2 linked regions of the Canis lupus familiaris genome follow. The protein of the gene in region 2 interacts with the protein of the main gene of each other region in a pairwise test. Links are inferred from orthologs where the notes say so. Each region holds a gene or a part of one and is shown on either strand. Other genes may lie near its edges.

Evidence for each region.
Region 1: the proteins of ERBB3 (region 2) and PPM1B interact in a two-hybrid assay, tested with the Homo sapiens proteins (2 studies listed by BioGRID and IntAct, with this or other methods). The link is inferred for Canis lupus familiaris from reciprocal best matches to the Homo sapiens genes ERBB3 and PPM1B.

Annotation. Positions count from the first base shown.
Region 1 is NC_049231.1:47,721,979-47,725,786, forward strand, and holds the end of PPM1B (protein phosphatase 1B), read left to right. Parts: coding exon of another isoform or gene 1-4; exon of another isoform or gene 5-2,503; intron 2,504-2,509; coding exon 2,510-2,815; 3' UTR 2,816-3,575; downstream 3,576-3,808.
Region 2 is NC_049231.1:756,713-761,151, reverse strand, and holds the start of ERBB3 (receptor tyrosine-protein kinase erbB-3), read right to left. Parts: upstream 2,801-4,439; 5' UTR 2,708-2,800; coding exon 2,626-2,707; intron 1-2,625. UniProt on the Homo sapiens protein: Tyrosine-protein kinase that plays an essential role as cell surface receptor for neuregulins.

The sequences.
Region 1 (3,808 bases), about 47 Mb from region 2:
CTGAAATCAAGATTCAGACGCTCACACAGACTGAGCCACCCAGGTGCCCCCACGTATTTCTATTTAATCTTAAAAGCTCCGCAAGCAATCCTGGTATGAAACCAGGATTGATAAACACTTCAGAATTTATTTCATTGTCATTGAAGGTTTTTGTTTTTGTTTTTTTGATAAAAAGGGGAGTTGTTGGTTTGAGTTGGAGAGGGCAGGAAGTGAGGTGGAAGAGTGTTTATGCCATCTATTAAAAGTTCTTTGTGATATACCGTAAAGTAGAAATTTTCCTTGTGGAAAACCTGATTAAAGACCAGTAAGGTTTATGATGAGCAAGCTTTTACCTCATTGCTCCATCTTATTAACCTTTCCTGAATAGAGTCAAATGAGAAACTTGATTTGGGGATGTGGGTTTATTTATTTAGCACAGAAGGAAAGGTAAGGGAGAAAAAGTCAGAAAAATCTTAACAGAAGAGCACATTTTATTGTTCTCTCCACATGATAAATTTTGCAAATTAAAAAAAAAAAAAGTTATTTGGGACACTTGGCTGGCTCAGTCCAAATAGCATAGACTCTTGATCTCAGGGTCGAGAGTTTGAGCCTCACGTTGGGTGTAGAGAGTACTCAAATAAATTAAACTTTTTTTTAATTTAAAAATTAAAAGTTACAGTTAATCTACATTAGGTAGAAAATTGGAGAACTCAAAGAAAATAAGGCAGGGGCGCCTGGGTGACTCAGTGGTTGAGCGTCTGCCTTTGGCTCAGGTCGTGATCCGTGATCCCGGGGTCTGGGATTGAGTCCAGCATCAGGCTCCCCATAGGGAGCCTGCTTCTCTCTCTGTCTGTCTCATGAATAAATGTGGTTATATTTGTGTTCCTTTTGTTTCTTTGTTGCTGAGTTGTAGGATAGCAGTCTACAGAAATGGTTAAGAGTTTGTGTCAGATCATCTATATCAGTAACCTTTTTGAGTTATTTTCCCAACATTTTATGATTAAGACTTCCAAATATCTAGAAAAGTTGAAACGATTGTAAGGAGCACCTATACACCTTCTGCCTAGATTCAACAATTGTTAACATTATACCGTACCATACTTGCTTTATCTCTCTTTATGTGTGTGTGAATATATATGCTACTCTTTTTTTTTTTTTTTTTCACTGAACCTTTTGATAGCAAACTGCAGACATTTTGGCATATTTTGGCATGCCACTCTTAAAAATGTGGACATTTCGAGGCGTCAGGCTGGCTTGGTTGGTAAAGCATGCAACTCCTGATCTTGGGGTCATGAGTTTAAGTCCCACATTGGGCGTAGAGCTTCCTTGGGAAAAAAAAAAAAGAGAACATCTTTCTACATAACCATAATATAATACTGTTATCATGCCAGTGAAAATTAAGAGTATCATCTAGTACCAAGTACAGATTTTCCCAGTTGTCTCTAGAATGACTGTGATAGTAGTTATTTTGAACGATGGTCTGGTCAGCCTGTTATCTAGCATATTAATGAAGTTTGTAATCAGGTCATTTTTTCTTCCCCTTGCCATTGAAAAAGAAGAGTCTGAGCCAGCTTTGCATATGATGTCCTACATCCTGGATCGTAGGATTTGTTTTGTGTCCTTTAATACCATCCTCTGCTCCCTATTTTCCTATAAATTGGGAATTTGCTTTATTAGATTTAAATTAAACATTTTTGGCAAGAACATAGGACATGGTTCTGCACTCCCTAATGAATCACATCAGGAGGCACACAATGTAAGGTTGTCTTGCTTTTAGACTGTCAGCTTAACTGTGATCAGCTTCGATGTTAGAGCTTGTTCTGCTAACAAGATTAAGTAGCTGCTGTTGTAGAAACCTCTAAGTTTTCCAAAATTTAACAAAATATAAAAAGATTAGGTAGTTTCCTGTTCATGTCTTATTATCATGTTTTAAATAATTTGATCTAAAAATGTTTTTATTAAGATATGTAAGAACAAAAAGTAAATAAAATTTTTACCCACAAAAGCATTAAAATTTCCCAAAAATCCAGTTTAAATTTATATAATTCTACATTTTGTATCTCTTTTCCTTACCTATCATTTAGTGGCAGGGATGAAGAAACTAATGTTCTAATGGCCTGCTTTTCTGTCCTTTCCTATTGCTTTAAACACTAATTTCCTTTTGTGCTAAATCATTCTAGACAATTACTGTTTTTTGTTTTTTGTTTTTTCTGTTAAGCAAGTCAGTTTTAGGAAATGCTTGTGTTGCTGTTGAATTCTAATAGTGGAGTAAATTTCAGAGGAAGCTTCAAATGCCAGTGTGAAATAAGATGTAAACTAGTTAATGGTAATTTGCTAAAATTAACTTGATATTTCAAGTGGAAACTTTTATTGACACAAGTAAGACTTGATACTTATTTAATGAAATGTTCTCATGCTTAGACTATATTACTCGTGATAGAGAAATGAGTGTTTTGCTGTGCTATGTTATGAAATACATGTGATATCCTAGTTTGTCTACTGACACTGGGGTCTTGAATCTCAAAAAAAGGCCTCCGAGGAAGCAGAGGAAAGTGGATCACAGGGAAAATTGGTGGAAGCTCTCAGGCAAATGAGAATTAATCATAGGGGAAACTACCGACAACTTCTGGAGGAGATGCTGACTAGTTACAGGCTAGCTAAAGTAGAGGGAGAAGAAAGCCCTGCTGAACCAGCTGCCACAGCTACTTCTTCGAACAGTGATGCTGGAAACCCAGTGACAATGCAGGAAAGCCATACTGAATCAAAAAGTGATCTTGCTGAATTAGACAGCTATAATGAAGATGCAGGGACAAAGATGAGTGGTAAACAAATATGACTTGACTTTGTGGTAATATTTTTGTGATCTTTGATTTGATGGTTTTTACTTAGGAAGTATAATGTATGCATTTATATAACCGTTTTTGTTATTTGAATCTTGGTAAACTAGTTTTATTACCTTCAGATAGCCTTGTTTTTTTAAGAAGGCCTTTGCATACACCTTTATCAGATAGTTTAAAATTGACTATTTATAGTACTTTGAATTTAATAAAATTCTATGTCATTTCATATTGTATGCCAGAAATGAGGCTACTAGTTATTCGAATCAGTAGTTAACTTCATATTAGATAAGATTAGAGATTACTGATAAGCAAGATGACATTATATTGTGGAAAAACTTGTAAATGTAGAATTCTGCTTCATATTATTTTACATATTAGTACACTCATAGTCAGCTTTGTAATAAATTTGTGTTTTCTTTAGTAACTTTAGTTCTTCAACGAATGGCAGATGCTGGCCTGTAATTTTTTTTTTCTTTCCAAGGATGATAATTTGTGTGTTCTTTGACTTGTTTATACTTTACATCTCTGTAGTTTTATTTTTAGAAGTTCTGAGTTGTTGGATGTGTGGTTATTTTCCTTTCTCTGTATTCTTTATTGAAACCTAATTTTTGAAAAACCTATGTATTATTGATACAGCTTTGGTTTGTACATTCTGTATAGCCTAACTACATACATCAAAATGTATGTCAACCACGTGTTTAGAATGAAATTATAAGTGTTCAAGTCCAAATAAAGCATGTGATGTGGAATAATCTATGCATGTTGTACTTATTTTGAAATTAAAAAAAATTTAAACAACCAGGTTTGGTATATTGGAAGAATACCCATTAGAAATTCATTTATATTGATAGAAAATGTAGAAAACTTTTGACTTGGCTTTTGTCATTAACAAAAGAAAACATTTTGAGAAGTCTTGCTTTCTCAAATCCATTGTTTCTTATCCCCTTTTTGTAATACAAAATATTCATCTGTGGCCAGTATAGACACAC
Region 2 (4,439 bases):
ATGGCAGTCTTGGGGGTTCACTTGCCCTTCTAAGTATGGAGGACACAGGGGCTAAGGGAAAGGCGGGACCCCGAAGCCCCACCCCTCTCCCCTCCGCTCAGAGGCCGGGGGAGGGTGGGGGGTAGACACCACCTGTTCTCACCACCCTTCCCTGAGGCGCTGGCAGTTTAGTAGGAGGCGGGAGTGGGAACGGAGGAGGAGAGATTAGTGAGGCTCCAACCCCTCCTCCTAGATACACCCCTAGTCTGACCACTGGACTTTGGAGGGCTCCCATCCCCTTTCACTCCCCACAATGGGAAGGAAGGGGGTGGGCTAGACCCAGCAGAGGAGTAAACTGGCTGGGAGCTCCCAGAGGAGCCTGGGAACTCTAGGGTCCTGGGGCTGAAAGTAAAGAAACTAGGAAGGTTAATCATTTAGGGAACAGCCCCACCCTAAACCCTTTCCTGGTAGGACACCCCCTCTTGCAAGTCAAGGCGCCAACCGCTCTCCCCAGATAAGGGAGGAGCCAAGATTTCTGCATGGAGAAGTGGGATATGTATGTGATGTGTGTGTGTGTGCACATGCACGAGGGACACACACGCACACACCCACAGACAAGCATGCACACCGCTCCCCGCTGGCCCAGAAATCTATACTGGTTCTGTCCTCGGGGTTCCTTATGAGGAAGTATTTCAGGTGGCCCCATCTATCCCACCTGCCTTAGGTGTCTGTGCAGACTCTGTGTCTGTGCCTGGAAGGCTAAAGGGTTAGAGGTCCCAGTTCTCTGCCATCCTGAGGGTAAAGTCCATATTACACAAACAGGGAGCAAAGGGCCTGCTCAGGAAGAGAGCGTGAAAACCACCTCTAAGGAGGAACAGGCAGCATGGGGAGGAGGGAAGGGGGAAGAGAGTAAGGAAAAGCCCCACTGTACCCGGGGACCAGGGGCCTAGGGAGGGGCCTGGCACTCCTTTGGTAGAGAGCACTGGGGTGGGTCGACCAGGAATCTTCGTTGCCTCCTCAACCAGAGGCCTCCTCTCCAATAGCCCCCACCCCCATCACAGCCAGGACAAAGGGACTATAGAAGGACTGAGACAGGGCCGGATGCCCAGAGGCTGCAGGATCCAGATAAAGGGTAAAGAAACCCAACCATGCCTGCCTCCTGTCGCCCCAAGGGAAGGTGGCCAGGATCTGGGACTCCTGGGTTCCTGGTTGAAGATTCCAAGGGTCTGGATGGGACAGTGACCCAGTCATTCTATTTGGTCCCTCCCACTCCAGTCCCCAGACCCCCCCCTCCACTCCACCCCCCCACCAGCTGGGAGTTTCAAAGTCAAGATCCCAAGTCTAAATTTAGGCCCAGCAACTGTGGGGGAAGCACAGGTGTTTCTCCCACTCCCACTCTGGGGAAGAGGCCCTGGCCCTCCCAAATCCCAAGCTGAGGTCTGGGGGAGGGGAAGAGATCAACAGGATTCCTCCAATTCGAGCAACACCAGAACCCTCAGGTGTCCACGGTCCCAGAGACACCCCAAGGGGGTGGGCTCCGATGGTATGGGAGTGGGAGGAGGAAGAGAGGCGCAGTTTGACTGTTGTCTAGACTCCAGGAGACAGAGTCAGACAATAAGCAGAATGTAGGTGGGGGGGGAGCTGGGTCCGGGAAGGACTCCCAGACTGGAAGCTCAGGAGGTGGGAGAGGCGCCCTGTTGGTCTCGGGTTGGGGGAGAAAAGACAGACAAGTCCAGGCTGCAGGCCCCTAACCCTACAGCTCCTGGCCCAGACCCTGTGCGTAGTAGATGTTCAATAAATATTAGTTGAATTGATCTGGGTCTTGACAAAAACAAGAGGTTGGGGGATCCCTGGGTGGCGCAGCGGTTTGGCGCCTGCCTTTGGCCCAGGGCGAGATCCTGGAGACCCGGGATCGAATCCCACATCGGGCTCCCGGTGCATGGAGCCTGCTTCTCCCTCTGCCTGTGTCTCTGCCTCTCTCTCTCTCTCTCTCTCTCTCTCATAAATAAATTAATTAATTAAAAAAAAAAAAAAAACAAGAGGTTGGTCAAGCCGGGGACCAGCCAGCTTGGTTATCCTGAGGAAATGAGGGAGGTCGGCCTCTGCGTGGCCTCTCACCCCGATGTCACCTGTACTTGGCCCTTAGGTGCGCCTCCGCCCGTCCCGGGGCAGGTCCACGGAAGAGGAGGTGCGGCTCTTGTTTTTCCAAGAGTAGAAAACAACAACCCCCTCCGACCCCTCCCTAGCTCCGCCCTGTCGGCAAAACAACGAAACTGGAGGCGCCGAAACCGAGGGAGGGGGTGGGCTCACAGGCCGGGACCCCCACTCTCCGGGACCTCACCCCCCTCACTGCCGCCGCACGTTTGCGGAGCCGAGGCCCCACGGCCGTCCCCACAGGGCTCCCCAGGGGAGCGGGGTGTCCCGGGGGGCCCCCACCCCGACGCAGATCAGAAGTGGGGGGTCGGGAGCGCCGAGCCCGCCCGCAGCGCCCAGGGGAGCGGGGTGTCCCGGGGGGCCCCACCCCGACGCAGATCAGAAGTGGGGGGTCGGGAGCCCCGAGCCCGCCGCAGCGCCCCGCCGGGGTGGTCCCAGCGCCCCCCGCCCCCGCCCGGCCCCCCCCCCCCCCCCGGCGCCCGCGCCGCTTACCTGCCTGGGAGTTGCCCACGTCGGAGGCGCGGACCAAGCTGAGCAGGAAGCCCAGCACCTGCAGCGGCGCCGTCGCCCTCATGACGCCCGCGGAGGCGGCGGCGGCCCCGCGGGATCCGGCCCGGGGCCCCGACTAGGACATCCGAGCGGGGCCACCTGAGCCGCCAGCGACCGGCAGCGGCGGCGGGGAGGCTGCGGAGCGCAATCGGAGCCGGGCCGGGGCGGGGGCCCGCCGGGCAGGGGAGGGGGGCGGCGCTGCAGCCGGGGCTCGTCCCCGGGCCACGCGAGCCGAGCCGGGGTCGCGCCCGGACCTTCCCGGGGGCCGGGCCGAGGGGCGGCCGGGACTGCAGACGCCCTAGCGCCTCCGACGGGGAAAGGTGCTGGGGGCGGGGAGGGCGCCTCGAAGCCCGGCCCCTGAAAGCTGGCCGCGCCCATTAACCAGATCACTCAACTTCCCCAGCCGGTTGGGTCACTCGGGGCGGGGGGGCTCCCTGAATGTGAATGTTTTTCTCCGTGAGTGTTTGTGAGGAAGGCGCGGGCCGCACGCTCAGGCGCCTCGGTTTCCCCGGGACCCTTCCGGCCCCGTAATCCGTCCACGCTGCCCTGGAAGCCGAGCCCCGAGGCCGCGTGAAATCGCGCTGTCTCCGGCCGCTTCCTCCCGCAGACCCGGCGCCGGCCCGGCCTCTCCGGGGGATTTGGGGGGCGGGGGCGGGGCGGCCTCCAGCCTGGGAACAGACCCGAAGCCCGCCTTTTCCCTTCCAGCCCGGGAGGGGCTCCCGCACCTGTCGCGCCCCCTCTGCTGCCCCCCGCGGCCGCCTGGGAGAACAGCTGCCTCCCATCGCGGCCGGGAGTCCCCGCCGTCGGGGCGGCCGCGGCCCCCGCCGCCTTAATGCGCACCCGCACCCGCATCCGCACCCGCGCGGGCGCCTTGCACGCCCGAGCTCGCGCTGCAAAGGGGGGCGCAAGGCGGGCGCCCGAGGCCGCGGCCACGAGGGGCTCGGACCCCCGCCACCTCCGGCGGCCGCTCCCGGGTCCTGGCCCGGGGCTGGGTGGGCACCGGCGCGCGGCCCCCGAGCCCGGCGGGTCCCTCAGCAGCTCCCACGCGCGCCCCCTGGCGCCGGGGGGGCGCATTTCACAGCCCGAGGCCGGCGTTCCCGCCCCCGCCCGGGGGCTCCCGGGCGCCCAGAGGCTCAAGCCCAACCCCCAGCGCCTCGGCCAGGAAAGCTTCCTCCGGTCACTAAGTCTCCCGCCTAAGGCTCTAAGCTTGCTCGGGATCGCTGTCGCCCGGGCCCCCGCTCTCTGCGGGGCTCACCCCGGCCCCGGCGCTGGCCTGTCCTCGTCCTTGCAGGACGGTCCCGACCCCGCAGCAGCGACACGGTAACGAATCCAAACAGCGCCTCATCTGCCACCCAGGCCGAGGCTTCACGGGGCCCAAGCACGTGCCGTGGGCGGCAGCACCGCACGTGGGGCCTGGCGGCGCGGGGGTCCACCGAGACGCAGGGCCAGGCGTATCCGCAGGAGCGCGGGGCTGCGCCGGTTCCCGCCACAGAGACTGCAGCTCCGCGGGCTCAGCGTGCGGGCGGCCTCTGCTCCGAGCCTAGAGCCCTTCCAGGGGCCGCCGGGACGAGGCTCCGACCCAGCCCGGGCTCCAGGTCCTCCCGGAGCCGAGGTCTCTCCGCGGAGGAGCTGCGCCCCCGGCGGGAGCGTCACGACAGGCAGGCGGGGCTCTGGCTCGCAGCGGCCCGAGATCAGGGGCGCCCGGGGGCTCAGCCCCTTAGCCGCGCCTCGTGCTGGAGCCCTGGTCCCAGGGTTCG